Tamandua tetradactyla: one gene and its partners. The protein of the gene in region 1 interacts with the protein of each later gene in a pairwise test. Links are inferred from orthologs where the notes say so. Each region holds a gene or a part of one and is shown on either strand. Other genes may lie near its edges. The genes, in order: CEP76, CABP5, cilium assembly protein DZIP1L-like and CRYBA4.

The links.
Region 2: the proteins of CEP76 (region 1) and CABP5 interact in binary tests that used the Homo sapiens proteins (3 or more experiments, as listed by UniProt). The link is inferred for Tamandua tetradactyla from reciprocal best matches to the Homo sapiens genes CEP76 and CABP5.
Region 3: the proteins of CEP76 (region 1) and cilium assembly protein DZIP1L-like interact in binary tests that used the Homo sapiens proteins (3 or more experiments, as listed by UniProt). The link is inferred for Tamandua tetradactyla from reciprocal best matches to the Homo sapiens genes CEP76 and DZIP1L.
Region 4: the proteins of CEP76 (region 1) and CRYBA4 interact in binary tests that used the Homo sapiens proteins (3 or more experiments, as listed by UniProt). The two-hybrid records come from large-scale screens. The link is inferred for Tamandua tetradactyla from reciprocal best matches to the Homo sapiens genes CEP76 and CRYBA4.

What each region holds. Positions count from the first base shown.
Region 1 is NC_135344.1:76,585,715-76,593,517, reverse strand, and holds the start of CEP76 (centrosomal protein of 76 kDa), read left to right. Parts: upstream 1-4,680; 5' UTR 4,681-4,744; coding exon 4,745-4,807; intron 4,808-5,045; exon of another isoform or gene 5,046-5,172; intron 5,173-5,494; exon of another isoform or gene 5,495-5,726; intron 5,727-6,039; coding exon 6,040-6,195; intron 6,196-7,803. Other genes in the region: PSMG2 (proteasome assembly chaperone 2), read right to left, coding at 1,806-1,977, 4,380-4,436. UniProt on the Homo sapiens protein: Centrosomal protein involved in regulation of centriole duplication. Required to limit centriole duplication to once per cell cycle by preventing centriole reduplication.
Region 2 is NC_135342.1:13,060,359-13,068,496, reverse strand, and holds the start of CABP5 (calcium-binding protein 5), read right to left. Parts: upstream 3,045-8,138; 5' UTR 1,330-3,044; coding exon 1,120-1,329; intron 1-1,119. Other genes in the region: LIG1 (DNA ligase 1), read right to left, coding at 4,993-5,070, 5,210-5,302, 6,445-6,588, 7,233-7,286. UniProt on the Homo sapiens protein: Inhibits calcium-dependent inactivation of L-type calcium channel and shifts voltage dependence of activation to more depolarized membrane potentials. Involved in the transmission of light signals.
Region 3 is NC_135341.1:82,033,157-82,040,751, reverse strand, and holds the start of cilium assembly protein DZIP1L-like, read left to right. Parts: upstream 1-4,443; 5' UTR 4,444-4,451; coding exon 4,452-4,952; intron 4,953-6,288; coding exon 6,289-6,373; intron 6,374-7,595. UniProt on the Homo sapiens protein: Involved in primary cilium formation. Probably acts as a transition zone protein required for localization of PKD1/PC1 and PKD2/PC2 to the ciliary membrane.
Region 4 is NC_135331.1:36,171,766-36,179,752, forward strand, and holds the start of CRYBA4 (beta-crystallin A4), read left to right. Parts: upstream 1-4,844; 5' UTR 4,845-5,199; intron 5,200-5,716; 5' UTR 5,717-5,728; coding exon 5,729-5,767; intron 5,768-6,418; coding exon 6,419-6,537; intron 6,538-7,987. Other genes in the region: CRYBB1 (beta-crystallin B1), read right to left, coding at 92-259. UniProt on the Homo sapiens protein: Crystallins are the dominant structural components of the vertebrate eye lens.

The DNA of each region.
Region 1 (7,803 bases):
CCAAACTAAGTTTTAAAATGCAGATATACCATTTTTTATAAGAGCAATACCCATACCCTTCAATTCTATATCATGCAACTATTTTTGTTGCTAAGACCTTGATACTTTCTTCTGATGTGATACAGTATGAAAGCAACATTACTTTTATGTGTTCTAATAAAAAATATTTAACTTAAACCTAATCAATCCTCAAGATCAAACTTTCAGTTTTAGAAAATACAGGGGCTAGACCCACAAGCCAAATGACACCAGAAGGAAGTAATCAGGTAAATGCAGAAGGTGGGAGAGCCTGTAAGACAATGGGCCAGTCTGTGTCAGAGGAGAGTAAGTGGACCTTTAAGTAGAGCAAAGGTGCGCTAGCAGAATGATGTGGTGCTTAAGAGGCAGGTCTCTGGAGCCAGACTGCCTTGATTAAAATCCCAGCTCCACCAATTATTAATTATGTGACTGAACAAATTACTCAACTTCTCTGAACCATGGTTTCCTCATCTATAAGACTATCTTTTGGAGTTGGCATGAGGATTAAGGGAATTAACACATGTAAAGTGAAGTTGTGTCCAGCTCATAGTAAATGCTCAATAAATGATTGTTGTCATTAGTGCAAAGTATAGGACTTCTAGTACCACCAGTTTACCCAGATAAGCATTCATCTGGAAAATACTGGTATTAAGACCAATAAAATCATCTTTAAGAATGCTAAACTTTTTGGGTTTTGAGAACAGCTAAGTCTTTACTGATATTCCCCCGTCTTCTCTTTGGAGGACAGTCACACTCACTGGGATTAACAGAAGAATGAAATGTAGTAGAGTGTTAGCCATATACCTTCTAAGGCAATAACTAAAATTCAGCCTTTCATGTTAACAAAATCATCAATCTTATGTCAACAAAACCATGGGTTTTATGTTAACAAAACCATCTCTCCTGCAGGAATTTCAATTAAGATTATTTCTCAAAAGTTCATTTCATCATTGTAAGCTAAGAATAAATGACAGGGTTAATAAAACTGACAAAAAAATAAAAATATTTCTTCATTTGTACTTCAATCCACCAGGCATCTCTCATGGGCCCCATCACCTTTGGCTTTGACCTTAAAATGTTAAACAGAAGATAGAGAGGCTAACAGAGCCATCAACAAAGTGGATATTCCTGTCTTCAAGAACAACAGGTGTCTTTCCTCTGTTCTCTTGGTTCTCTCCCACATTATAACCAAACAGCAGTCAGTGCAATGTAAATTATGTTCCCTAATTAAAAAAGTCTGATTTGTCCAATGAAGAATTACGGAAATTTATGCTAAGTCAAAAGTCTACACCAGGCATTAGAGAACTCAGACTCTCAGGGTCTTATCATCTATATCATAGTATTATGGATTCTATAGTTAAGCAGCAAGAAGACTGAGGCTTAGAAGAGGGAGCACATGCTAAGCATGGAGGACTGCACCCTTTTCTTTTCTCCTTTTCCCAGGTATCAGTGGTGATAATTATACATGCCAGTAAAAACAAAAAATAAAACTGAGGATAAAAGGGAAAAAAAAAATCCACGTTGGGATGGAAGGGTAATAAAAAGAGGAAATCTTAAAATTCTAAACAAAGATACAAAGAACAATTACATCTCTTGTAGGAGTTGCCATTTAGAAAAGAACAAGAAATAAAACCAGGATGTAAGAGAATAGGACAGTGCAACTAGGTTGTACAATCTGCACAAAGCTGGCACTAAGTAAATGTTTGCTTTGAAACAGTATTCACAGAATCTATCCTAATTTAAAACAACTCTACCAGGTAGTACAACAAACCATTCTGAGGCCTTACCTTCAGTATTTGTACTGAGTTCTGTTGAATTTTCTTCCTCAGTTGCATATGGGTTGTTCCCAACCATCGGCACAAGACAATCAGTATAGAAGTAACCAATCTTAGACATATTCAGTGTGGAAATAATCAGGTCTATTGCAAGCTGACCAACATTTCCAACAGATACTGCTGGCTGAAACCATAAACGATGATTAATAAGTCGTAGGAATTAGTTACATTTAAAAAAAATTAGAAGGCAATCACAGCACTAGTTAGTACTGAATAGTTATGCTCAGGTGCCTCGCTTGATACACTTTCTTTAAGGGTAACAGAAATGTCATCTGGGCCATCTCCACGTTTGAGGCCACTCATTTAACAAATACTTGTTGATGACCTACTATGTGTCAATTATTGCTCTAAGCACTGGGGAAGCAGTAAAACAAATCAGACAAAAATCCCTGCTCTTGTGGTGGAGTTTTCATTCTAGTGAAAGTGGTTTACTTATAATAAACAATAAACTGGTAAAATATATAATAAAATATACAGTGGTTAAAGCCAAGAAAAAGGATATCATATATGAGTGTGTGTGTGTGTGTGTGTGTGTGTATGGCTGCAATTTTAAAAACAGTGACAGAGGAAAGACTCACTTCAGGTGACAAGTACCTAAGACCTAAAGAAGGAAAAGGAGAGTCATGTAATAACCTGGGAAAAGAATGATGCAGGCAATGGAAAAGAAAGTGTAAAAGCTGTAAGGTATGAACAAAAGCGTGTGTGAGTCTTCTTTCAGTTTGCTTTGTTAGTGCCTTTTTCTGCACACTCCTATAGCTGGAGTGAATTTCACATTAAACATATATGCATACGTGTGCATGTTTCGTGTGTATATTCACACATACACAGACTTACCCCAATTGACTTCAAACAACCCAAATGCCAAATTCCAACCTCCCATCAGGACACCTGCCTGAAACCCAGAGCCTAATGGATAGCTCTATGTGTTTATGTCACAAGCAGCTCACAGTCAACAAGTAAAAAACTAACTTTTGCCAAAACTTGTCCCCCATTTTAAAGTTCACAAAATAGCAACATTATTTACTCAATTACCTAAACCAGGAAACTTCCTCCCTTTCCATTACCAACTACATCTAATATCTGACTAATTTTTATTGATTTAACTTTTTATTACAGCTTCTCCTTTGCATTCATCCAGTTATTGCTTTTCTCTGGACTTCATATATTTTGCTGGTTCCCTCAAAGTGGTCTCCCACATCTTATGCCATCATGTACTAATTTCTTGTTTACCCTTTTCCCTTCTCAATTAGCTACTCTGCTTGTAGTCTCTTTGTATTTCTCTGTATCATCTCTCTTTTCCCCACTATCAGATCCTTCCCATCGGCATATAAGCATGCTCTAATACTGTTTATTCTAAAAAACCCTCCCTTGACCCCACCTCTCTAACTACCACCTCAATTCTCAGACTCCCTAGATTGCCAAAATTCCCTGATACTGGCCACTAAAATCTAAGCAGAACTTTATCTCAGAATCAATGAAATACATATATACACAAGTATCCATGTCCTCTTCTTTCATATATTCAACCCAACCTGATACAGCTTCCCTCTCTACCACTCCACTAACTGTCTGCCAGGGTTACCATGAGTAATCTCGCTGCTAAACCCAAAAGGACACTTGTTTCAACTTACACAATGTCTGGACTATTTTTGACAGATGTCCCTCCCTCTCTCCTGAAACACTCTTCTCTTTGGATTTCTGTGCTTGATAATTAATATATAAAAGAATGACTGTTGTGTCTCTCTCCAGCTTTGCACCACTCCAAACTGCATTCTCCAAAGGTGCCTCCTGGGTTTACAGGCCTGCAGCCTACTCTGTCTCAAAGTGCCATTCCTCACTCTGGGCCGTGCCCCAGAACCCCATGCTTTTGTGCCTCTGGTTTAAAAAGTCCATCCTTCTGGAATGCTCTACTTTCTACCCCACCCCCCAAAAAAGCCCCACTTTCCTCGCCTTTTAGACATTACTTTTCTATGAAGTTCTTCGTAACAGGCCTCCACTGGACTGTAAACTCCTCGAGGCCGGGGACCGAGTCCTATTCTAACGTTCACACCTGGCAGAATGTTGACTGAAAGGACGAATGAATGTAGCCAATTGCAAAAGCAATAAAACCGTGTCAACTACGAGCAAAAACGTCACTTTCATTACTATTACCACTTCCATTATTCTTTTTTCACTCTCATTGTTTGTAAACCTACCGCCATTCACTAAACTGTAGGCTAGTACAAACATGGCCCAAGCGTGCATTTATGGCGTTTCCCGACAGAGGACTACTCCTCTCTTTCGTTCTCTGGTGAATGGCTCAAGGCGGACCCTAGAAGCAGCTGGAAGATTTCCTAGGATAAAATTTAAGGAAAATGCGCCGCACGAACCAAGTGCAGGGTCTGCGTGATCTCCGAACATAGCACGTTTTACCACCAAGACTCCCTCGGAAGCAGGAGTCGGCACTGCAACGGGCCCGCCGCCTCCGCCGCGGCTGAGGCCGAAACCCGCACCGCCCGTGCCGGCGAGGCGGGGCCGCGCACTCACCATCAGCAGAGTGAAGCCCGCCAGGTCGGGGGCCGGCTCCCCGCAGGGGACGAACATGGCCGCGGCGAGAGGAAGCGCGAGCGAGCAGAGAAGGACCCACGCGCGCGCCGTCTCCACGCGACGCGCCCCAGGGGCCCGGCCGGCAGGCGGGTGGAAGCGAGGCGGGGTCCTTCGTCTCCCCCGGCGCCGGGCTCGGGGCCTTCCGGGGCGGCGCCTGCGCGCTGGGCGGCGCGGGTCCCGTCAGGCGCGGCGCGGGCAGCTCTGCCGGCGCTGCCCGGGTCTGAAGGCGGTTGGGCGCAGCGCGGTGCTGCTCGGCGCGTCCTGCCGCTGGCGGCCGCGGGGTGGGCGGCCCGGGCTCCGTCAGCATGTCGCTGCCCCCGGAGAAGGCCACCGAGCTGAAGCAGCTCATCCACCAGCAGCTGAGCAAGGTGAGGACGCCGCGGGCGAGGGCAGGCCGGGTCGGGGCTCGGAGGGGACGGGAGCAAGGGTTGGGGCCCGGGCGTGAGCGGGGGTCGGGGCGGGTCGGGGCGAGGCAGGGTCGGCCGGGGTGGGAGCTGCGGCCCGGTAGGGCCGAGCGAGGGTTCGGGCAGGGTTAGCGTTGGCCGGCCTTCGGGGCCGGCGTGGGGACAAGCCGGAGCGGGGCTGGGGCTCCCAGGTGGGCAGGGGATGGACCCCTCCGACGAGAGCCTACAGAGGGTTTGAGGCGATTTTGGTATTGCAGGACGGCTGTGAAAATGAAGCTCTTATCGAGTGATTTCCGATAGCCAGATAGTTGAGGATGTGTTTGGAGCAGGTGTTTTTAAATTCACGGATCAGACGTTGGGATTACTCTCAGGGTGGTAGTGGGGATGCCGTTGAAGTTGAGTCAGTAGCTTAAAGCGCCACTTCGCGGAGAAATCGTGGAAGAGAAGTGACTAAAATGTTTGTAAGGAGAGTATTCGGGATACTGCGAGCTCAAGAATGACACTGAGTCTTTGAGTGCCCAACTGAATGCATTATAAGTTGAAGGAAGAAAAATTGGACATGGAGATAATTTTAATATAAGCTACCATTTGTTTTGCACTAATTTGTGTACCAGATTTTACACTCAGTGTTTAGCACCTTTTATTTAAACTTCATAACCATCTTATAAGAGGGTAGCATTTTTTCCCATTTTGTATATGAGGAAACAGATTCAGAAAGGGAAAATAAATCGACTCAGGGTTACACGTCTAATAAACTGAAAGCTATAATTTTGACTTTGATTTGCCCTGTCCAGGCTTCTGTTCTTTGATTATTCTCTACTCTTTCTCAAAATATACGTCGTGTTGAGCATTGTTTGTGGAGAAGTGGTAACAAAGACAACAGGTAGTCAATAGACTCTTTTTCTAGAATTTATACTGGAAGTTTCATCTTTTAAAAAATTACTTTGTTTCTTCCTTTTAAAATTTTTACTTTTATTGTCATTGAATTGTAGTTACAATTTTACATTTATCCTTAGCTTGAAACACCTAAAGCTCAGGCTCCCCAGATGTGGCCTTTTGATCTCCTCCTCCCTTTTTTTTTCTTTATTACTGTAAGTTAGCATTTTAGAAAGAAATCAACATTAGCAACATTTGGTTGCTTTGATAATCTGTGCTCATTAGGAGTAAAAGAAATGTAATGCAAGTTTTCTACATAGATGGATGTCCATGGCAGAATAAGAGAAATCCTTGCTGAGACTATACGTGAAGAATTAGCACCTGATCAACAGCAGTTATCAACAGAGGATTTAATCAAAGCCCTTAGACGTCGAGGAATCATTGATGATGTGATGAAAGAACTTACTTTTGTTACTGTGAGTAATCTTTTGGGGTAAATAATTGAGAGTGTAAGTGTATTCTCATGCTTACCACTGTTTATAGGGTCCATATTTGGGACCTCTGCTGTTAGTAAGACCACTTTAAAATAAAGCTGTTTTGCAAATAACATCCTTGTTTTAAGTATAAATTGACACTATCCTTGAGCAAAGCATATATTATTAAACATTAGTGAAATTGGAGTTATATGTCATATTCCTTTTTCCATGGTGTCAGAATTTCCTCATTATTCACTAGGGTCAGTAACTTTAAATATGCATGTTTCAGTCAAATTAGTTCACCATCGAAGTCCTTTTTCACTAAACTTGTTCTGTAATTTTTTTGATTGACACTTATTTTTTTAAAAAGCTTTGGGGGGAAACTATGTTTTCTATGATTAACAAATTATCAATCTCTGTAAGTAAATAACTGATTAAGGTCTTTCAAATCTTTTCATACAAATAGGTCAGTAGTGGCATGTTAGCCTCTCAGTGCACGATTAGTAAGTAGGCCTTCTTTTGAAAATGAGGCAATAATGAGAAACTGTGACCTCAATACCTGGGTAATATAACAAAAAATTAAAATGGGCTTGGTAATACACTAGGGAATAAGTATTTTAATGCAGTGCCCTTTTTTGGTTTTTGAGGTTTATAAACCTGTTTGTTATAAAAATTGACCTAATAACAACTTTTGCTGTGTGACTGCCACTTCCTTATTAAAATCAGTTCAGGATGGAACATAAGCCAGATGTTATATGTGGTTTAGAGAAAGTTTAACTTTTTAGCACTTCTGTGGATAGCATTTTTAAAAAACATTTTTTATTGTGGAATAATAAAAAATCACTTTATACAGGAAAGTGATAAATTTCAAAGAACAGTTTAACAAGTAGTTATAGAGCAAATTTCAAAGTAGTGTGGGTTACAGTTTTACAGTTTTAGGTATTTTCTTCTGGCTGTATTAATGCACTAGAAACTAAACAGAAATATCTGTATAATGATTCAGTGCTCATAATCATTTGTTAAGTTCTAACTTTTCTGTTACAACTCCTCTCCCTCTCATTTGATCATTCTCTCTGTTTTCAGGGATATTTGGTCAGTGACCATTCTAACTTCATGTTTAAAGGGGGTGTTGACATTATGGGGTATAGGGTTGCAACTGGTTGATGTTCTGGGAGAAATAGGTACCTCTGAGTTTCAGGGCTTATCTGGCATAGGAACAATCTGGAGGCTTTAAGTTTCTGAAAAATAAACTTATAGGTAAAACTTTTATAGAGTCTTATATAGAGCCCTGGGTTTTCTTTAGGGTTTTTCAGGAATGCTGTTGGTTGGGGCTTAGCATACCATGACACTGTAATATCTGGGATGGCATTGTTTGAAGACAGTTTAATTACTTAGTGTTAGGAGTGATCAGTTGCATCATCTTTTATGGAGGCTTTTAAGATTTTATTATTTTCATTTTCTAGGAAAACAAGGGAGTTTTTGGTGGGTACCTTATCTTACCTACTCTTGATTCAGTGCTTTGTCCTATCATTGGCATTTTCTTCCTTAACCATAATTTTTTTTTTATTAATTAAAAAAAGAATTAACAAAACAATTAGAAATCATTCC
Region 2 (8,138 bases), on another chromosome or scaffold:
ATTAAAGCTCAGGACATCTCTTTGTGGTAGAAGCAAATACGGTTCCCATCTTACCAATGAGGAAGCAAAGGGACAGAGGTTAATGAACCTGCCAAAGGTCACAGGCTTCGTAAGTGGCAGATCCCCTCCTAAGGAAGAGAGACATTTAACTACTCCCTCAAGGTCACACAGCAAGTCAGGCAAACACTGGAATTTAAATCAGGGCTCCTAACTCCCAGGTCAGAATTCTCTGCTGTACACCCCACTGACTCTTTTCTCCAACCTCTATCCTTTTTTTTTATAAGGGTTAGAATCCTGTTGCATGCAGCCAGTGTTCAATGGCATTCAAGATGCTCAGTGCTGGCACCATCAGTTCTACAACTTCTGAGAATTTTCCATCGCTGCTGCTCCCACCCCGCCTAGATATATCTGAAAGGTGAGGTCTCCATATATGGCATGCCACCTGGGAAATTTCCCCAACCTCTGGCCTGTTTCACCCCTTTTTCTCCCTTTATCTTTCAGCCCTTCAGCCTTTCCCCCAGCTCCTCTTTCTTATTATCTCTTTCACTGCAAACTCCCTCCCTCCCTTTTTTTCAGGACCTTGAAATAAAACAATTAAAAGTATGCCCATTAGAATCAAACAGTTCTGACCCTGACACTTACTAATTGTATAACCTTAAAGCAAGGAACTTCATGACTCACAGCCTCAGTTCCCTCACCTGTAAATGGGAACAAAAGTATCACGACCTTGGAAGTTGTTCTGAGAATTAAATGACCTCAGAATGCAAAGCCCTCTGTACAGGTTGATCTCATCGCGCTGACTTAATAATTGGCAGCTATTGGTATCAGCGTCATCATTACAATGTGTGTCCATAAAAAAGAATGATGATCATCGATAATGACATCGTCCTTAGTCCCTTTTATTTTTTAATTCTCCTTTTTCTCTTCTTTTTTGCCCTGTCTTCTGACTTCACCCTAGTCGACATGTCCCCATTATACCCCCTGGAATTTTTCTACCAGCTCCTTTCATGCTCTCTCTAGCTGTTTCCTTAATTCTGTTGCACCCATCACATTCTTTTCTGTCTCCCCTTGCCCTGCCCCTCTGCCTTGCCCACCATTCCCCACCGTCCCCCACCTCACCCGTTGTTTTTCAGCGATGCCTTTTCTCAAGAAGATGCAGGCGGGGCCCATGGGAAACTGCATGGAGGGGACAGGGCAGGGCTCACCAGGCACCAGTCTCAAGATGGTTCCCTCTCTTTCCTGTTGATACCTCGGCCTCCTGATCTTCTCTATCACTCCTTTTGCCAATCCTTCCTCTGCCTCTGACGGACTCTCCTGCAGTCCCTGCATTTTAGAGCTGTGACAGTTGGGTTGGAAATCTCTACCCAGGTTAGGGAGGGATCAGAGCTCTTCCTGTCTCCCCATCTGGCTTGAGTGAGATGGGAGGGGAAAGACAGCATCAGGCTCTGGCCTTGTATTCCCAGGATGGATTGGAAAAATTTTTAAAAATTGGGACTTGAGGGGAGGCATCATCTTGCTCGACTTTCTTTTTACTGTCTCTATAGTTTTGCTTTTTCCAGAATGTCACAGTTAGGATGATATAGTATGTGGCCTTTTTGAATTGGCTTCTTCCACTTAGCAATATGCATTTAAGGTTCCTTCAGTTCTTTTCATGGCTTGATGACTCATTTCTTCTTATCATTGAATAATATTCCATTGTATGGATGTACCACAGTTTGCTTCCCCATTCACTCATGCAGGACATCTTGGTTGCTTCCCGTTTGGAGCAATTATGAATAAAGCTGTTATAAACACTTGTGTGCACGTTTTTGCTTGTCTATAAATTTTTATCCCATTTGGATAAATACATAGAAACGTGACCTCTGGATCATATGGTAAGACTGTTTAGCTTTGTAAGAAATTGACCAATTGTCTTACAAATGTGGCTGCACCAGAAACCTGTCTTTTGGATTAGGGACCCAAAGGATTTGCTGAAATTTCACCCTTTACAGGGTAGTCCCTGGAAACTGAAGCAGCCACTGCAGGTTACACCCCCTTGTCGGTGAGCTGGCTCCCTTCAAAAACAAGAGGAGAAAGGATTGAGCCGAGTCTGCTCAGTTCCTTCTCCCCAAATCACTCAGAGAAGGTATCCTCCTCTGTCATGGTCAGGTTCATGTGTCAACTTGGCCAAGTGGTGGTACCTGTTTGTCTGGTTGGGCAAGTGCTGGCCTGTTGCGATGAGGACATTTCATAGAATTCAATCATGATCATGTCGGCTACATCCACAGCTGATTCCATTTGTAATCAGCCAAGGGGCGTGCCTTCTGCAATGAGTGATGCTTAATCTAATCACCGGAAGCCTTTTAAGGAGGATTCAGAAGAGACAGTCTCTCCTCCTGCTTCAGCTGGTGAGCCTCTCTTGTGGAGTTCGTCCAGACCTTCCATCGGAATCGTCAGCTTCACAGCCTGCCCTGTGGATTTTGGAATCTGCGTTCCTGTGGTCACGTGAGACTTCTATAAATTTTATACTTGCGAGTGTTCCCTATTGATTCTGTTTCTCTTGAGAACCCTAACTAATACATCCTTCCTCAGAGACTTCCTCTAGCTGGAGTCTCTGGGCAATGAAGACACAAGGCTGCTGCACAAACTCAAGAGCATACTAACCATACTCCCTTAAAATTCCCTTAAGATTTGGGATGCCAATAGTCACCAACACTGAGTGTGATCAGGCTGGAAACTAAAGCACATAGGCCCCTCCTTGAAAAGGGAAAACGTGAAATCTGCAATGTTAAGTCTCCCTTCAAGGAAGAAAGCAGCTTCAGTGACATGGAAACGGGGTGAGGCTGATGCATAGTCGTTGGGTTTATCCGAGTGCAGTGGCAGCAACTATCTAGATTTAGGACATATGAGTGCACTTCGTGCAACTCAGAAACAGTGGCTGGGTCTCTGAAGCAAAGATCAAAAGCCATGACTCAAGCTGCATTTTGCTTTCTGTCCAGTTTTTGTCTCATGGTTCTTTTTTTGTCTGTGTGTGTGTTTTTAACATCTTTGTTCCCTAACATCCAGCATCCTAGGAGACAAAAGGCTCCCAAATATAAATTAAGGACATATCCCTAACATAATTCCTGACAGATGAGATGGCATCTTGCCACACAGGTAACAGAAGACCCAAAATGAACTCCTTACCTACAAAGGGGCTCCCTTTTTCACACACCAAGAAGCCTGGAAGGAGAGTGCGAGTGTGACCACGTCCTTCCCGCTTGTCTGCCCAGTCCTGGATCGACCCTCCTCTAGCTGGTTGCCCGAGGGCTGCTGCAGATCCAGGGGAAGACACACAGGCCCAGTTCTCCCTGTGACACTCAGAAGGAAAGCTTTTCCAGAAGGCCCCCTGCCCCTAAGCCCTACAGACTTCCCTCTGCATTCCACTAGCCGAAGTTCCATCTCATTCCCCTACCCAAGCCATCCAGATGGATTACTTTGGACTCTCCATACCACCCTATGGGCAGGGCTCCACTTCCCTGAAGCACACGAAGGAGGGGAAATCAACACTCAGGGACGACTTAGGAAGAAGAGGAGTGAAGGGATGTTAGGGTTGTGCTGTTTTGAAACTTTTATGAACCCCAGAAAGGCTATGCTCTTTTAATCCTAATCCAATTTGTTAGGGACAGACCTATTGTAGGGTGGGACCTCTTGATTAGATTGTCTCCATGGAGACGCAGCCCACTCAATTGTGGGTGAGACATTTTGACTATTTTCATGGAAATGTGACCCCACCCATTCAAGGTGGGTCTTAGTTTACTTAAAAGAGCTCACAGCTGAACAGCGAGCTAACATAGAAAACCACTGGAATCAGAAGCTGAAAGCAATACAACTTGGGAGCAAAGGACCAGAAGATGCCAGCCACGTGCTTTCCCAGCTGACAGAGAAACCCTGGATGTGATCAACTTTTCTTGAGTGAAGGAATCCTCTTGCTGATGCCTTAATTTGGACATTTTTATGGCCTTAGAACTGTAACCTTGTAACATAATAAATCCCCTTTGTAAAAGTCAATCCATTTCTGTATATTGCATCCCAGAAGCTTTAGCAACCCAAACAGGGGTCAACCATCAGTGGCATCTTAGGTTTCACCTCATATGCCACTGGAGACCGATGGTGAGCCATGATCCAATGAGCACCTGCTATGGGCCAGGCATTGTTCTGGGATGGGATTAAGAGGCAGCAATGAGGAAAACAGGTATGGCCACTGCCTGCTCTCATGGCATTATGTCTGGAAAACTGCTGAGGTTCTGAGGCCATGTTTGAGCTTGGCAGGAAATAAGACAGGCTGCAAGGCCTCGGGGTGGCAGACTCCGGAGTCTCACAAGAGTCACTGAACATACTTTCTCTCAGGAGGATGGTGACTGTACCCAAAAAGTGGGGTGTCTGGAGCATGAGCGCTAAGTCAGAGCCCGGTGCTGGCACTCCCAGCTATGTAACCTGAGGTAGTATTTACCTTCTCTGTGCGTCCCTGTCTTCACCTGGGAAACAGTGTCACCAGGAAGAGTTGCTGGGAGGTGTATAGAGTTGGGACCGCTGCCATCCGATACAATGGCCGCTAGTCACATGTATCTGTTTAAGTTAAAAGTGAAATATTCAGGTCTTCATTGCACTGGTCTCATTTCAGGGGCTCAGGAGTCACTGAGCCAGTGGCTCTCGTATTGCAGAGCAGAGAGAGAACATTCCATCACTGCAGAAGGTTCTATGGAATCCATGCTACACACCACAAAAGTGTGAGCTCTTACAGCTGCCCCCCAGGGCCCAGCACAAACTTTGACACAGTAGATGTTGAATAATTATTTATTGAAAAAATTTTCAAATGAATCCCCAACCTCAGTTTAAACTTACCGCCCCCCCCACCCCCATACACACCTGAATCACAGACACCACAGACTTCCACAGATGGTATGTTCAAAAATAGAGGAGGCACCCCTGGGCTCCCTCCACCCCGACCCCAGGCCCCAGAAGAACGGGGACTTAGTAGAAATCTTCCAGGTCGGAGTCTGTGCTTTGCTGGTTCTGAATCTGACTTTGCCTCTTATACAGCTGAGCCACCTGAGGGGGGAGGGTAGGGGGTCGAGTCAGAAGCTCTCCGCCCACCTGCATGCCACTGCAGACCAGAGTTCACTTCTCCGAGAAACTGACAGGTCAGAAGGCTCCCCTGGGGTGACCTGCCCTCCTCCGAGGGCCTCACCTGGGCACTGGTGGTGGCCTCCTCTGGTGTTTTGTCTTCACGGACACGAATAAACCGAGGGAAGCGTAGGGAGATCCCCTTCTCGCTTTCCACCTGGGGGTTGGGGTGACACACCTGGGGTCTAGCCTGCATCCCCTCGCTGCAGCAACACCCTATGCAAAGTCTCCTCCTCCCTCCTTCACCCCTGGCCTCAATTTCCTCATCCATTCAGCAGGGATAAGTAATGGGCTGTTTCAGGATTAAAGAAGTGAATAAACATAAAGGACTTAGACCAGGACTGCACACAGTAAGCACTTAATAAAGGCCCGCTGCTCTAGCTGTTATTTAAGCCACTAATGCATCATCATGAGGTCTGAGAGGCAGAACAGCACAGGGTCAAGGGTGTGGACCCTGGAGGCAGAATGGGCAGCTGCAAAGCCCAGCTCTCCACTCTAGGGAGCCAGGTGACCCCGGGCAGTCACCTCAGCTCTCCTGGGCTTGTTTCCTCCACTGCGGAAGGGGACGCTTGTGCCACCACACTCAAGGAAAGTGTTCAATGCCAGCGCTCTACAGCGACTCTCTGACACAGGGCATGAGCAAGAAAAGCACATAATCTCCTCTTAAGACAATTAGATAAAAAACATGAGTCTCCTTTTCAAAAATAGAAGCCTGTTTCTAATTAGAAATGCTCATGCAGCTAGATTTTGAAAAGCCAGAAGAAACCTCAGACAGAGTGTATTTTTATCTGAGATTTACTGCTCTTCTGACGGAGAAAGACAAGAGCTTTCCTAGTGCTGTGAAAAGGGTTAGTGTCTTTCCCTGGTGGACAGTAAATGCTTTGGTGAGAGATATTAGTCAAGGCACCAAAACATCAAGGCACTAACAACAACGGGAGGTGAGGAAATGAAGCGACTGAAAAGGAAACTGCAGCAGTCAATGGAAATGGCTCAGCAGGAAGAACACGAAACTCTTAAAAGAACAGTGTTTTAAAAAATGATTAAAGAGCTGAATGTGAGATTATGACGGTTAAGGGAGAATTCCACTGTTTACTTTTTGCTACTGGAAAATTTTTCTTAAAAGAAAGAGGCTGTGGACTCCATTACCTGATACCCAAATAAAATGCAAAGCAATTTCGTTCCCTTCATCACCCCCCTGCAGAGCAGGCTTGTGCTGAGGCCTCCTCCTGTGTCCTGACTGCCCATCTGGGATTCCTTTAGGGTCTACCCTAGACCCTCCTGCTGCCCCCTGTTACTCACCAGGCCCCGGGCCGCAGGGTAGATGGGGGAGAGGGAGAGATCAGCACACTTCACCTCCCACACGGTGCTAGGCTCCAGCCAGTAGTCAGGTGCCACGGCACCATCTGCCCGGACGTAGGAGCGTGGGTTCGGCAGCACCAGGGCCTGCAGGAAGCAGTGGAGAGGGGGAGAAGAGAGGGTGCTGCATCTCAAAGCTGAGGCCAAGGCTGGGGTCAGGGAGTGGACAGAGGGACAAAGACACAGGCATCCCTTACAGTAAAAAGCTGGAGGGAAGTGAGGAAGAATGGAAAAAAGGAAGAAATAAAAGGTTGTCAAAAAGACCCACAGAGAGGGGGACAGAGACCCAAAGAGAGGAGTACCCCAAAGAATGGGGTAGGGCTCCAGTGGGTACCAAGAAACACCAGTGCACAGGACAGAGAGACTCCCAAGCTGCCCCACACCTGACAACAAGTACTTCTGCTTACTCAGGACTTTCTTGACAACACCTTCTCAGGAAGACTCAGGGACACGCCCCCCCCCCCCCCCCCCCCCCCAGCAGCACTCAGGGTAGCTCTGTGATTGCCCCCTGAGCTCGGGGAGATTGGGCTCCTTGTCCAGTGTCGCTGGCTACAAGCCGGTGGAGCTGAGTCCTGACCCAACTGGTTGCACTCCAAAGCCAATTCTGCTGCCCACCGCCCACCTGTTCATACCCCCACCCCACTAAGCTCCAGGACAGATGGAGACCATGAACCCTGCCCACAGAGGAGATGAAGAGAGTTCTGTGGCTCCTGGCAGCCACCCCTGCTCACCTGGAGGCTCTGGTAATACTCCTCCAGCTCCTCGTCACTGAAGCCAGTTCCAAGCTGTGGGGAGGGTACAGAAGGTCAGAGGTGCACCCTAGGACTTCCACCCCGCTCCCGCCACGCTCCTGCCACCTAAGCTTCCACTTATAGTGGCAGTTCCCCCCACCCTCACCCCACTCAGTTTTCCAGATTAGCCAAGTCCTACTACTAGACCAACAGTAGCCACAGAACAGAGAGGAAAGGGCTGAGCATCCAGGCCAGTCCCTCGCAGGACACTGAAACAACCCTCCTGGCCACCCGAATCCTACCAGCAGGGATAGGCTCCTTCTACCCCACCTCCCTAGCTCAGGAAGATACTCCCTTGGTCTCCCCTCTTCCCCCTGCCCAATAACTGACTGCCGTCATCTTCAATCTTAATCCTGCCAAGCGTTTTCCTGTAAAGGGTTGAAGTGGGTCACCCACCAAGACACGTTTGAGCCCTGAGCCTGGTCCTTGGAGGTAAACCATTCATACACAGGGTCTTTGAAGATATGATTAGTTAAGATCAGGCCAAACTGCATCAAGGTGGGCCCTAATCCAATGTGACTGGAGTCCTCAAATGGAGAAGAAATTTGGGCAGAGACAAATGTGAATGTTCCCGAGCCAGGGAGACAGCCACGAAGCAGAGCGCAGACTAAGTCGGGGACTGCCGGCCACCACGACAGCCCCACGGGCCGCGGGGGAAGACAGCCCTGCCCAAACAGCAACTTCAGACTTCCGGTCTCCAGGGCAGCGAAACAGTACGTTCCTGTCGTTCAAGCTAACCAGTTTGTGGTGCTTTGTTACAGCAGCCCAGGCAAACTAAGATATCCACAAAAAGAGTGAAAACTAGTAAATCATACTCGGTGCTGGCAATTATGTAGTAAGATGGAA
Region 3 (7,595 bases), on another chromosome or scaffold:
TTTATTTCATTTTCCTGCTTGATTGTTCTAGCTAGAGCCTCTAGCACAATGTTTTTTTCTTTTTTTTTGTTCTTCCTCATGCAAAAGCATTTTTTTAATTTGTACATTTAGTCGCTATCATTATACACTCTAGGCATTCCTAGATTATACCATCTCAGTCTTCATTGTCTATTTTTCTTTCTGATTTCATTTGTGGCCCCAGCCCTTCAGTTAAAACACTGAGCTTCATTCAGTGTTTTAACATAATTGTATTACAGTTAGGTAGTATTGTACTATCCATTTCTGAGTTTTTATAATTAGTCCTGTTGCACAATCTGTATCCTTTCAGCTCCAATTATCCAGTATCTTACCCTATTTCTATCTCCTAATGGTTTCTGTTACCAATGAAATTCTCCAGGTTTGTTCACTAATGTCAGTTCACATCAGTGAGACCATACAGTGTTTGTCCTTTTGTTTCTGGCTAATCTCACTCAGCATAATGTCCTTAAGGTCCATCCATGTTATTACATACTTCATAACTTTAGTTTGTCTTACAGCTGCATAATATTCCATCATATGCATATACCACAGTTTGTTTAGCCACTCTTTTGTTGATGGACATTTTGGCTGTTTCCATCTCTTCACAGTTGTAAATCATGCTGCTATAAACACTGGTGTGCAAATGTCCATTTGTGTCCTTGCCCTCATGTCTTCCTCCTGGTTCTGGTTCCCGGTTTCATTGCTTCCAGCTTCCGATGCCAGCAGTTTCTTCTGTAAGCATCAATGGGCATTCACTTAGCAAACCCAAGATGGAGGGAGGTGAGTGTGCATGTGGGCTTCAGCGCGGGCAGCTTTTAAGGATGGAGGTCTGGTGACATCTGGAAGGGGCAGTTCATTAGTTCCGGAAGTCAGGTTGGGAGGGGTGACACAGCCTCCGCAGCTCCAGCTGCAGTGCCCTTCCCCGTTCCCCCGACCTAACATTCCAGCCTTTTTGTGATAATAGGGCGCCGAGATCTTTCTGGCTACTTCCTGCTGTAATGGGGCGACGTGGGGTTATAGGCTGGAACCGTCATGGCCAGGGGAGTGGGGAGGCTGGCTGTAGGAATCTGGTGAGGAAGGCAGGTGATGATAATGATGCAGGAGGATTTGGTTGACTGCCACCCGGGATAGTTCCTTTATGTGTCCCTGAAGGAAGTTGAGGAGGCAGGGAGCCAATCTGTGGTGGATGCAGTGGTGAGCCGAAGGAACCCTTGTCGCTGGCCATGTGGAGGAAGGAGGAGAGAGAAAGCCCGGGCGCCTCTGGCCAGGCAGGCAGCACCCACGCTCCTCCCTCTAGCACAATGTTGAAGAATAGTGGTGACAGAGGGCATCCTTGTCTTGTTCCCAATCTTAGAGGGAAGGAAAGCTTTCAGTCTCTCACCACTGAGTACAATGCTAGCTTTGGGTTTTTTCATATATGCCCTTTGTCATATTGTGGCTGCCCCTTTTAAGGACATATGCCCTCCAGTTTGTCACAGTCCCCAACACTTCCTATGCCAACACTCCCTACTGCAGTGTTTCAGAATCAGTAAGTCTGAGGTGAGAACCTGCATTTCTAACAAGTTCCCAGGCGACACTGATGCTGCTGGTCTTGGGCCCACACTTTGAGAACCACGGCTTTACTTGACCTTGGACAGGAGCGGAGGAAGCAGTTGCTATTTCTCATCAAGCTCATTCTGTGACAAGCCTGTTTCACTCACTTAATGTTACTTTTCTGGCCCCTGTGGCATTTGGGTTTGCAGTTTCTGGTATAATTAGTATTGGATCCGTAGCCCTAAGAGAGAGATGGTCAGGACTGATGGGGCAGGGAGCGTGCGCTTGGGAGGCTGAGGCTCAGCCTTGGGCAGGCTGCGGTTAGCCGAGGCTGTGGGTATGTGTGGGCTCACCCCCAGGCAGAGGGCTTTAAGACCAGGCTAAGGGGTTTGGATTTGATACTGTGGCAACAAGCCATGCTGAGCTCTGGGGTGGGGGACATGGGTGAACAGCAGAATATTGGGGGACACTAGCCTATGCTGCCTTAAAGAATTGGGAAGGGATGGTAACCGAGGGAACTGGCTGGAAGGAGCAGTCAAAGGATGGGAGAGCTGAGAGAGAGTGGCTGGAGAGTGCTTTGCCTTATAACTGGGAGAGGGCTGTTGGCAAACATCTGAGGCCAGAGCTTAAAGAGTTAAGCAGTGGCGGTCCTCGGGCCAGCTCGGAGCCTGTGGGAGGACAGGAGGTGGGTGTCCTGTTACCCTTGTCCACCGCCTCCCTGATGACTCGCTGTTGCTCTGGGCACGGTGTGTTGTGAGCAATTGTCGCCGAGGCTTGGGTGACGCGGTTGCAGCTTGGAGCCGGGCATGGTGAGTATCCTGTCACCTGCCCCCTGTTTCCCTCCACCTGGCCCGTTACATTGGAGCGTGCCGGTCTTCCTTTTGTGGCCGTGGTGGGGTGCTTGTGGCTGCATATTTTTGTGGCTGCGTATTTGTGTTTTGGGGTACATGTTGGGGGCGAGTATCAGGGAGGGGAAGGATGGGAGCTGAAGCTGAAAAGCTGGGTGGGTGGGGTCCTATGGGTGGGCTTTAAGACCAGGCTAAGGGGTTTGGATTTGGTACTGTGCCAACCAAACACGCTGAGCTCTGCGGTGGGGGATGGGGTGTGCGTAATACACTTGGGGAGCCCCAGCACCCACCACTGGGCCCAGCACACATGGCCATGCAGCAAATGGGAGGGCAGTGAGTAAAAGGATGCATTGGAGATTTGAGGGATGAAATGTGATCATCTGACCAAAGCAAAAATTTAGGATAAATAGCCCTCAAAATTAATGTTGGGTGATTCAAATCCAGCTTTGGAGCCAGATGTACCTGCAATTGTACTTCAGTTGTGCCTTTCTTACCTGGGGCAAGCCACTTAAGTGCTCCGGACCTCAGTATCCTGGTTTGTAAACTGGCATGATAATACCTGCCTGTAGGTTTGTATTTGGCATTAGGGCCCAGCACAGAGGCTGGCACCCCTGCATATTGGCCGGTATTATTAGTGAGGGATTTCCCCCTCACTTCTGCCACCCTCCCAGGGGCCTGGGGGCGGGCAGGGCAGGCTGAACGCCACCTTTCACAGGTGTAGACAGCAAGACGGCTGGGGCCAGGCGTGCTGCTGAGGGCCTGCCTCTCTTTGCAAACCTGATGGTTCCCTGAGTCCTTTTTCTCTTTCATGAGGTCAATGATCTTTCTCTTCTCTAACTTTCCATTGTACAGAAAAGTCTGAATCACATAATCTAGAAAGAACTTGATTAGACAGGGTGTTGTGTACCTCTTGTTGCCCCAGTCAGATTCTAAGTTCTTCAGTGGCAGAAATTGTATATATTTTTTTCTTTTAAAAAAGATGAAAGTAACAGATGATGATGAGAAGTGACTTTAATAGTACTGAGAAGTGGAAAGTGCAAAGTAAAGGTCTTCTGACCTCTATTTCTATTTTCCAGCAGTAATTATAGTGAACAGCTTGTGGTCTCTTTCCAGAAATAGTCTGGAAATAAAATAAAATAAAAATAATATAATGAATAATAAATAAATATATTTTATACAAGTTTGATTACATATTATATATGAATGATAAATATAAATAACATATGCGTACATGTATTTCTTTTAGTTAAGGATTAGATATTGTTTTTATTTTAAAAACATTTTTCTTTTTGGAGTAGCTATACGTTTACCCCAGAAAAGTATGCAGAAAATACAGAGCACCTGTCATGTATTTCTTTTATGATGTGGAATACAGATGTGCTGTACAGAGGGCTGAGTTAGTCCTGTTCGTTATAGCATTGTGTCGTTGGCCTGTGAAAGGCCTATCATGTCCGTCTGTCTTTTTTGTCTGTGCATCTGTCTATCCATCCACCCATCTCCCACCCCCACATCATCCATCTGCTAATTTATTTATTCCCATTTCACACTCCCATTTCTCTTCTCCCTTGTATAAAACCATTCGAATGTGCATGTTTATATATGTATGCATTCTTTATTTTGTGAGTTATTGTTAAATGTGATCATATAAATAGATCATTAAAAATAGGAAAAAATATATATATACACATACACACACCTTGTTCTATATCTTCTCTTTTTCATGCAACGTATTTCAGAGATAATTCCATGTCACTGTGTGTAATGCTGCCTTATTCTTTTCCATAGTGGCACACAGTACTTCATACTTTATTCACGCAGTCCCGCCCCGTTCTTCTCCGCAGATTCGGCCACACTGGCACGTGCAGACACTCTACAGCTGCTTGCAGACACCTGGCTCGCCCCACCGGGGCGCTGGCTGGGCAGGAGTGCAGCGCCGGCAGCCCCTGCAGCCACCCGTCCTGGCCTCACTGGGACTCACTTCTCTTCCCCAGGCCTTGCCGCCGCTCGCGTTCCTGCTGCCGTGGCCTCGGGGACAGCCGTCTTACCCCGCCCATGCAGCCCGCCGCCGTCGCTGCCCAGGGCCTCGGCGGGCCCCCCTTCGGGGCCTACACCCCGCCCGCCTTCAAGTTCCAGCCGCGCCGCGAGAGTGTGGACTGGCGGCGCATTAGTGCCCTGGACGTGGAGCGCGTGGCGCGGGAGCTGGACGTGGCCACCCTGCAGGAGAACATCGCCGGCGTCACCTTCTGCAGCCTGGACCGGGAGGCATGCAGCCGCTGCGGGCAGCCCGTGGACCCCGCGCTGCTCAAGGTGCTGCGCCTGGCGCAGCTGACCATCGAGTACCTGCTGCACTGCCAGGACTGCCTGAGCGCCGGCGTGGCCCAGCTGGAGGCGCGGCTGCAGGCCAGTCTGGGCCAGCAGGAGCGTGGCCAGCAGGAGCTGGGCCGCCGGGCCGATGAGCTCAAGGGTGTGCGCGAGGAGAGCCGCCGGCGCCGCAAGATGATCAGCGCCCTGCAGCAGCTGCTCCTGCAGACCGGCGCCCACGGCTGCCACCCGGTGCGGAGCCTCCGCGGGACCCCGCAGGGGCGGGCGGCGTGTCCCAGCCAGGCGGTCACCCCCCACTTACGCTCCCCCCCACCTCCCCTGCCGCACCAGCCCCGAGGCCTCTGTGAGGCTTCTCCTTGTTCAGAGTGCAGCCCTCAGCTGGTTTGGGCCTTCAAGAAATGTATAGTTTGGGGGTAGGTGGGACAGAAGGAATCATTATGATAGAATGTTAATTGATAGAATGATAATTGATATAACTGCTGTAAGATAGAGTTAATTACCTTACAAAGGGTTAGAACCCTTTCAGCACTCTAACCTGGTTTAGGCCCATAGGAAATTTATTGGTTGATTTTAACTGAAAAGGTTTGGTGGGTGTCAGGTGTGGCTTGCCCCAGGAATCAGATATGGCTGCAGAATCGAGTTTCTTGCTCTGCAGCTCTTGGCTCTTCTTCCTCTGTGTAATTTAGTTACATGGCTTACATGGTTGCAAGAGAGACTGGGACGTAAAGTCTTTATTTTCAGTGACATCATGACTTGCTAAAAATCAAGGTTTCTGTTACAAAGGAAGGGGAAAATGCATTTGGGGACGCCAACTGGCAGAGTCTGTTCCATTGCCTTTGTGCAAAGATAGCAAATAGACTTCACTTTACTCTGCCCTCTTACTCTGATTGATTGGCTGTGGCAACCTGCAAAGTTTTCCTCTGAAGTTTTACAATGGAAAGATAATATGCAGTGACTGACATGCATTTAGGAAACGGAAGTGGAATTACAGATGTTATTTATTTGCTGTCTCTGCCTCTGGTGTTTTTTCACCCTGGGATGGGGCTTGGGCATATTTTAAAACTTTCTACTATGGAAAATTTTAAACACAGTGATAGAGAGAAAGTCACAATGAACCTTTATCTGCACACCACCCAGCCACTCACCAACTCTTGGCTGATATTTTGTTTGTTCCTCTATCCACTCTCTCCCACCCCTGGATTATTTTGAGGCATATTTGTCATATGATTTCATCTATAGATATTTCAGTATGTATCTCTGAAAAAGCAAGAACTTCCACTTTTAAGCATAATACCATCAACCGCACCAAAAGCCAACAAAACTCTAACCTCATCCACAAAACTTTGTCACCATCATCAAATATCCAGCCGGTGGTCTTGGTTCCCCAGGGCATGGGTAGTTTTAAAGCTCCAGGTGAGTCTGGTGTGCAGCTCGGATGGGGGACTCGCTGGGCTCAGTCGGTCAGCTCCATTTCCCAAGTGGCTCAGGGGGCCTGAGGGGTGGGGAGGACTCCGGGCCGACTGGGCCAGGCTAATCCTGTGGCCCCCCCTGTTTCCTCTCTGTGCAGTGCCACCTGTGTGACAAGACGTTCATGAACGCCACCTTCCTGCGGGGCCACATCCAGCGTAGGCACGCGGGCTCGGCCGACGGCGGTGAGCGCTGGTGGCACCCTGGGGCGGGGGCGGGCCCGGAGCTGGTCTCCCGTGGGTGGAGGCACCTGCAGCCCGGGGTCTGAGCCTCCTCGGCCTGTTGAGGACGTGATGTGCGCGTGTGGGGCTGGGGAGCGTGTCTGGCCGCGGGCAGGGAAGGTGGATGGCGAGGTGGTGTCGTCTCGGTTTTGTCCCTGTCTATTGTGGGACCTTGGCCGTGGCTTCCCCCTTGGGGTCTCAGGGGCCTCTGCTGAGAATAGGGGCAGCCGGACCCCTGCTCAGAGGTCCCTTTCCTCCCAGCCCCCTGCGCACCTGGCGTTGTCTGAGACTACTGGCAAGGAGCGTAAATGAGCCACTGACCAGCTTTTTGATTTTTCTATTTACTCGAGTATATTATCATGACTTCATCATTTTAATATTACCATTTCAAGTTTTGGCATGCTTTTTGCCAAAAGAGGTATGCGAAAAAGATCTGTGGACCTTTTTTTTGAGGTTCAACAAGAAATATCTGTTAAAATAGCTAAATATAAAAATCCCCATTTTTCTTATTCCCCATCTTTTAACTCCCCTTTCAAAGAACAGGTTTAATATTTTCAAATAGTAGCATTTATTTAATTATGATGCATTTATTATGTATCTAATACTTTTTGGAGCTTCATTCGAGGCTGCTAAGGAAAAACATTTCCCATTTGTTAAATAATTTTTTTCTGATAAACATATGTCTTTGATATAGGAAATTTAAATACAGAAGTATAGAAAAGAGAAAATAAAAAATCATGCATGATATTACCAGTGGTTAATATTTTGGTGTATTCTCTGTCAGTTTTTTCTTTATATCTGTATAAACATTTAGTATGCAATTTTGACTATTGCTTATTTTCATTTAAGGATGTATCACATTTTCCATCGTCACTGAATCATTTTTGCAAATAGGATTTTTAATGGCTGTATGGTGTTCCCTCATGTGGCTATCATAATTTATTTCATAGTTTCCTCCTGTTAAATATATGTCTACTTTATTTGTCTACTTTAAATCACATGATGTTGAGCATTCTTGTGTGTAAATCTGTGTGTATACCCCTGATTATTTCTTAATGTAAAGTCCTCCTGCAAAGTGAGGGAAATGTGTTCTCAAGACAACTTTTATTTATTGTATATGTCCTTTTGTTCTCAGACAGCCAGCTATTTAGGTGCCCCAGCAAGCCTATGCCACACTGTCTTCAAA
Region 4 (7,987 bases), on another chromosome or scaffold:
ACAAAGGAGGAGAAAAGGAAGAAGGGAGAAAGAAGAGACAAGGGTAGAGGAGCCAGGGGTGAGCTCAGCTACCCTGGCCCCAGGTCCTTACCCTGTAGCTTCCAGGAGGAAATCCCCCCACTTTGGCACTGGGCGTGGATGCTGAGGCCAGGGCAGGGCTGGGGGCCGGGGCTGGTCCTGCGGGCAGGGCCCCTTTCCCTTTGGCATCAGGCCCTGGGTCCATCACAGCTGTTGCCAAGGCCTTCGTAGCTTGAGACATGGTTCCTCCTTGCAAGAGACTGCAAAGAAATCCTTGGCCTGGGTTAATTTAGGGATAGCATCCTCGCGCTGCCTCCCCACTCTACACTCCCTCACCCTGTGTTACCAGGCTCCTTCTAAAATAGAAGGCTCGAATTTTATCGTCCCTCACCACCCCAGCTGACCACCTTTCCTCTGGGCCTCTGGTTATGTTGTTCCCTCCACCAACCTTGCCCTTCCTTCTACTCTGCTCGGTACTTCCTTAGCCTGCTGAAGGTTTTCACACCAAAAATCGTACTTATCATTTTCTCTCGCAGGGCTTCTTTTTGCCTCACCAGATTGTTATGTTTATTACTAGCAACAAGGCACATTTGGGGCTATTTACCATATGCCAGGTAATTAATTCATCTGCCCCATAACTCTACCGGCTAGGTGTAGACATTCTCCCCAGGGAGCAAACTGAAGCTTAGGAGCCCACACAGCTCGTAAGTGGTAGGCCTCTGATTTCAATTCCAGCAACTGGGTGCTAAAATGCTCTGCCACTTCCTTATTCTTTTTATTCATCCCTCCATTACCAGTACTTGGATTTGTGCCTGGCGCATCAGGGATTCTCAGTGAACATTTGTTCAAAGAACGAATGAATGCACGTTCCCGTCTCCTTTTCCAACTGCTACCTCTGGAATTCTCTGGGCATGGGTGTGTGGGTGCAGCCAAAGGCCTGAGAGCAGGGCATAAAGGAGGGCCCAAGGGAATGTATTTAGTGCCCAGCGGGATTCTAAAAATGAAAACTGTGTGGGCTTTTGGGTGGAGAGGATTTTGGTCAATTCCAGTGGTTCTTCATTGCTGGGGTCGTGAATGTCATTGAGTATTTGAGGAAAGCTTAGACCTTGTGCCCGGACTTTAAAAAAAATATGCTCCCTTCAATTTTGGAGACTATGTCAAGTCTCCATATACCCCCCCACCCCCAGACAGTTTAGAAGAAGACTCTCTGGTCCTGGTGGCCCCAGAACACTCTCTATAAGAAGGAGCTAGTTGGGGCAAGCAGATTTCTCCCCCAGCCTCTGGGGTGCAGGCCAGACATCTGGGCCACATCTGTGGTTTCTAGGCCCTTGCTCCCCCCACCTCAGTATATGAATCAACACTTCTTTGGGTTGCTAGTTTGACTCATTTCTTCCAGGAGATGTTCTCATTCCTTCTCTCCCTTTCTCTGCTTGTCTTTCTCTAGCTGTTCTTTATTTCTATTTTGACTTCTCCCTACCTCTCTGTCTTTATCTCCGTTGTCCATATCTCAGGTTCTTTTGTTTTGGCCATCTGTCCCCCTCCCTCTCTAACGGCCTTCTCCCCTTTCCCTCCCCTTCAGCTGTCAGTGGCAGAGTGGGGTCCCCCCTACCTGGGGACCTGCTCCTACTTCCTGCTCCAGGACAGACGACCGGGCGGGTGGGTCCTGTGGGTGACTAGGGGCCGACCCCCCATTTTATAGTCTGGCAGACACTAAGCCCTGTGGTCTGTGTGGCACAAAGGGGGAGCTGGCTCAGCAGACCCGGGGCGGTGAGTGGGGTCCTGGCCCGGCCCCACCGGCATTCCTGCCGAGAGCAGCACTTTCCATTGTGAGCCCCGCAGGCACAGCCAACGCCCTGATGGCAGGGTTCACCTTCCAGCCCAGCCCTGCTCTCTGCCACCATTCCTGGGTCCGCGGGGATCCTGCTGGCCGCCAGACATTGGGGCAGGGCAAAGGGGGAGCCCCTGGGATGGCAGGAGACCTGGGACTGAAGCCTGGCTCTGGCACTAGGCGCTGTGCGGCTCAGGGCAGGTCTCTAGCCCAGCCTGGCTCTGTGTCTGCAGCTGCGAAGTGGGTGCAATTGTCCCTACAGGAACGCGGTGCAGGAAAGAAGGCGAGGAGGAGCCAGGCCAAGGCTTTGCAGAGGCAGACGTGGGTATGGCGGTGACAGCCCAGTTTCCTGAGCACTGTGAGCTGAGCATGGTGCTAAAAGCTCCACCACTCCACCTCCCTCCAGCCCAGGACGTCCCGACATCTCTGGCGTTTTGATGAGACCTATGTCACAGACAGGAGAGCTAGGGCAGGGAGGCCAGGCTGGCTCCAGAGGCTGTGTGTTTAACTCTCTGCAGTCTGACCTTGGCCCCAGCCTGTTTCTGGGTAGGGGTGGGGGTAGGGTGGGGTGGGTGCAGCCTTCAAGGCCCGGGTCCAGCTCCAACAGCTGCCACTGAGCCTGGATTCCTCTCTGGCCCTTTTCTCAGCTGCATGTAGACTCCTCATTACCTGACCCCAGGGACACAGCTGGGACACAGCTGGTGGCCGGCTTGATGCCTCCGCTGGGAAATCCCAAACTCTGCCACATCTTGCTCACCATACCTGGACACAGCAGACCCTTGCTCAGTATTTGGTGATTAAATGCTCTATGGATGCCAAGGGGCCATAGCAGATGGTGGGCTCCAGGGGGAGACAGGGAGAGGTGGAGAGGGACAGAGACACAGGGGCAGAGGGGGTGATGGGTGGCAGAGACACACGGAGAGAGAAAGAGAGAGACACACACAGGTGGAGGTAGAGCAAGAACGACTCAGGACACACATGCAAAATCTCCATCGTCCCACTCCCTGATCTCACAAATGGAGAAACTGAGGCCCAGGTGGGATAAGCAACTTTGAACAAGGTCACACAGTGACCTCACAGCAGAGTCAGGGCCAGAGGGGCCCGGGGGTTGCCCCCTTCCAGCCCCACTTGGGGGACTGCTCAGGTTCCCCTGAAGCCTGGCTCTGCTGGACATCTCCTTGACCCGGGGCGGGGGGGGCCGGCTCTGCCCTCTTCCCACCCAGCCTGCCGCCCCCTCACTTCCCTCCCTCCCCCTCAGCCTTTCATCCCGGGCCAAGACCTGGGGTGGGGAGTGGGGGGCAGGATGCAGCAGCTACTGGAGCTGGTGCCAAGGTCCTTGCGGTGGGGACCACCCACTGGTCCTGGGCTGAGAGGCCAGGCCACCTCCGGGTGGTTCGTCTCTCCCCCTTGGCAAGGGGCTGCCTGCCAAAGAGCAGGGCTGGGGCAGGCTGGGGGGCCCCCACATCTAGCTCCCCTCTGAGTTCTTTACTGACTTGGCCCCATTAACCCTCACTATGTCCTCGTGGAGAGTAGGGGGTGGTCTCTGTGGTTAGCCTCATTTAGGTTTTAAAAGCATTTAAAAAAATTATTATTTAATAGGCATCATTGTTATTATCCACAACCACCTTAGTTTGCCGTAACAAGATACCAGCGTCGTTGGCTTCCACCATAGGGATTGGCTGTATTGGTTTTGGGGGACAGAAGTCCAAAATCAAGGCGTCAGAAGGGTGACGCTTTCCCCGAAGCCTGTAGCATTGTGGTGGCGGCTCAGGCTCTGCCTCCGTGCCCGGGCCATCTGCCTCCTTTTTCTCCTTTTCTGGTTTCTCCTTCCATTTCCACATTTCCTTTGCTTGTAAGGTTCTAGTCATACCGGATTAAGGCTCTCCCTGATTCAATCTGGGCTCATCTTAATAGGATCTTCAAAAATCCTATTTACAAACGAGTTCACACTGCCAGGACCCAGGGTTAGGACTTGAACCTGTCTTTGTGGGGGGCACGAGTCAGTCCCCGACAGCAATGATGATGCTGGTGGTGGTGATGATATGTAATGTTTTTTAAGTTCCAGGAGCAGCTCTAAGTGCTAATCTTTTGTCACTCACATTAATCCTCAATACCCCTCTCCCTTGGGTTAAACCCCGTTTATCTTGACACCCATTTTACGCACAAGGAGAGTGAGGCTCAGAGAGGTTAAGTAACAAGCTCAAGGTTACCCAGCCAGCAAGAATGGGCTTCGAAGCCTGGCTGTCTGGTTGCAGAGGCTGGGTTTCATTTTTGTGGCAACCTGCTCGGAAGGCTTGCATTTGATAGAACCTTATTTAACCCTCCCAGGAGGGAACTGATGTAGCCATTTTATAGCCATGAGCTAGGACTCAGCCAGCCTCCAGCTCAGCCAGGTAGTAAAAGTCAGGTCCGGGTTCACTCCAAGCCACCTGGCCCCTTTTACACTGTGAGAGGCCGCTTGTCAGCCAGCCCAGGGGGCAAGCTGAGGGGAGAGGATGCACAAAGCAAATTCTAAGACCAAGGATGTTTGGCAGGTGTTCACAGTTTGCAAAACCTTTTCCCACCCAGCAGCAACTTTGCTCTCCCACAAAGCCAGAGGGACTCAGCACGGCTTTGTGAAGCCTGCAGGCATTGGTCCAGCCTACCTCTCCTGCCTCTTCTCTCTCTGCCCCTTCACGACCCCTGAGCTCCAGACACACTGGGCTACCAGCTCTTTCCTGTACAGGTGCCACGAGTCCTACCCCTGCACTTTTGCTCCCACTGTTTCCCCTGCTCAGAATGCCCCTCTTTCCATCTCACTCTGTACCAATCGTCCCAACCCAGTTTACATGCCACCTCCACTATGAAGCCTACCCTGATTGCCCCAGCTGGAAGAGGAAAGGGGCCAGAGGAGGGAAGGAATGGGCATTTGTTGTATCTTTACTCTGTGCCAGGCATGTTACATGACTTCACAAAGGAGTTTAGTCTTGTTCTATTTTATAGGCAGAAACTGAGGGGCATGACTTGTCCAGGGTCACACAGCTGGAAAGGACAAGAATGAGGTTCGGACTCCCCATTTAGTGCTCATTCTACCGCTCCAGACAGAAGTTCTGTGGGTCCGATTATGGCAGCCCTACCTCCCTCACCTTCTTTGCAGCTGATCCCTGGGGGAGGCGAGCTGGACCGTTCCCTCCCAGCCGATGCCAGAGCTGCTGACACCTCTCCGTGGGGGCTTCGGCCAGGGTTTGCTTTTGTCTCTGCTGTTTGCTTGCTGAGTCAGGGCTCTGCTCTCTGGGGCCCCTTGTCCCGGCGCAGTCTATAAGAGACTGGCCTTGGCCAGCCCCGACTCTGGAGTGTTCTCTGGGCCCATCTCGGTAAGTCCTAGGCTTGGGGAAGAGGCAGGATCAGTTAGCATCCCGGGAGGCGGGGAGCCAACATCCCATGACTGCATCACCCAGGACGCCATCCTCATCCTAGCCAAGGCGTCAAGAACAGTACCTGCCTACCTTCATTTAGTGTCCTATTGCCTGAATTTCCACCATCAGAGTTCCCCTTTAGCATTAGGTGCTGTCGTGGGAAGGCACTCTTAGCTGAGCACTATGACACGTGCAGGCATGAAGCATCCACCCTCTGGCAGCCACAGAAACATTCTCCTGGAGCATGGATAAAGCAGTTTGGTGGGGCCCAAGGGATGGACACAGAATGGGTACGTTTTGAGATGGTGCTAGGAAGGAGATAAAGGACACACGGCACTGCTCACAGACAGAAAAGGAGAGGGACACAAAGCCACACACTTTGCCCCAGGCGGATCCTGACTCGGCCCAAAGCAGCCGTCAATGTCAAGGAGAAACAGAGCCAGGGTGGAAGACTGGGATGCTTTCTCCTTCGTAGGAAGGAGCCAACATGACCCTGCAGTGCACCACGTCAGCGGGACACTGGAAGGTAGGAAGAGATACCAGCTGGGGGCGGTGGGGGAGCGGGCAGGGACAGGGTTCAAACCCAGTGCAGAGACCCCCTCGCCCCCCCCTTTCCCATCCCCCAACTTCACTGAGTTCTCATGTCACCCTTAGAAGGAGAGGGCCGATTGCTCTAATTCAACCGAAAGGGACAGGGACTTGCCCAAGTCACACCCAATATGAACCTGGGACTTCAAATTCCAAAACATTAACCAACACACTCGGGCAGAGAGCTCACACTGGTAGCCAAGATTGCATGCGGTCTTCAGGCATGATTTGTTAGACCTGCTCTGTGCTTTTTAAATAACATGAATTTATCACCAGCCTTACAAAAACTTGGAGGTTCCGCCTAATTCGGATGTTAGTGATCGTCGTGAGAAACCAGAGGGTCGGCCGAGCAGACCTTCCCCCACGCACACCCCCATACCCCCGTTTACGTGGGGCCCCTGCTCCCCAGGTCCCCACAGTTCCTCACCTACCTTCCTGGCCCTGCCCCTGGACGCATCTGAGTTTGCAATCCCGGCTATGCTGCCTCCTCTTGCTGCCCTGCCCCACTCTGAGTCTCGGGGTGCCCCCAGCCCCTCGGCCGACCCCACCGAGCTCTGAGGCTGGTTTCCACCCTTTCTCTCTGGCCTAGGTCGTGGTGTGGGATGAGGAGAGCTTCCAGGGCTGGCGGCACGAGTTCACGTCCGAGTGTCCCAGCGTGCTGGAGCTTGGCTTCGAGACCGTGAGATCCTTGAAAGTGCTGAGTGGCGCGTGAGTCCGGCGGGCGGGTGGAGCGCCCAGTCTGGGTCCCGGTGAGGGAGGGGAGGGGAGGCAGGAAGGGACCCAGAGATGAGGGCTGGGATTTGTAGATGTTCTCCCCAGACTCTAATTGCATACCTTTGTGTCTTCCTTGGGTCTGAGATGCTGGAGGGCGTGCAGGACTGCCGTGTCAGGTTGCGCAGGCTGTGCACTGGCCAAGTGTAGGGGGATTGATGCACACGGATCTTGCCCGCTGGATGCAGATCTTCAGAACAGAGTGTCAGGGCAGAAATGTTCCATTAGCATAAATCAAAAGCCAACATCAGCTTCCCAGCGCCTGCCCATGCAAAGAAAAAAAAAAGCCAACATCAATTGCCAAAAGAAGAATAAATACAGTAAAAAAATGATGCTTTTAAATTTTAGCTAAATATTGGTGCCTGATTGAGGCTCTGAGAGTGAGGCTGAGCTCTTTTTGTTAGACAAATAAATAAAAAGAGAGAGCAGTGGATGTAGGGAGGTGTTAAGGGCACACTCACAGTACACTAAGATTCTTTTTATTAATTTTTAAATTAAAAAAATGACAAGAAAGAAACATAAACATTCTTAACATATGATCATTCCGTTCCACATATATACCAGTAATTCACAATATCATCACATAGTTGCATATTCATCATGATCCTTTCTTAGAACATTTGCATTAATTCAGAAAAAGAAGTAAAAAGACAACAGAAAAAGAAATAAAATGAAAACAGAAGAAAAAAATTATACATACCATACCCCTTACCCCTCCCTTTCATTGATCACTAGCATTTCAAACTGAACTTATTTTAGCATTTGTTTCCCCTATTATTTATCTTTATTCCATATGTTCTACTCGTCTGTTGACAAGGTAGATAAAAGGAGCATCAGACATAAGGTTTTCACATTCACAGAGTCTCATTGTGAAAGCTATATCATTGTTCAATCATCATCAAGAAACATGGCTACTGGAACACAGCACTACATTTTCAGGCGGTTCCCTCCAGCCTCTCCACTACATCTTGAATAACAAGGTGATATCTGCTTAATGCGTAAGAATAACCTCCAGGATAATCTCTTGACTCTGTTTGGAATCTCTCAGCCATTGAACTAAGAGTCTTTAGATGAACACTGTTCAACAGAACTTTCTGCGATGTTGGAAAAGTCCTATATCTGCACTGCCTAATTTAGAGTCACTGAACCCAATCTGAAATTTCAATCCATTTTAACTTATTTGTTTAAAGTTAATTAGCTACATGTGACCAGTGGTTACTATATTAGCCAACATAATTCCAGAAGGATTGGAAGGAGATTGCTAGGAGAACAGGGTGATTCGACATCATTCGCCTGGCCATCCGGACTGATTTTTCTGCATCTCGCATCGGGGGCATTGCTCTGGAAGCTTCCTCTTTGTACAGGTGGGGAGCCGGAGCTCAGATGG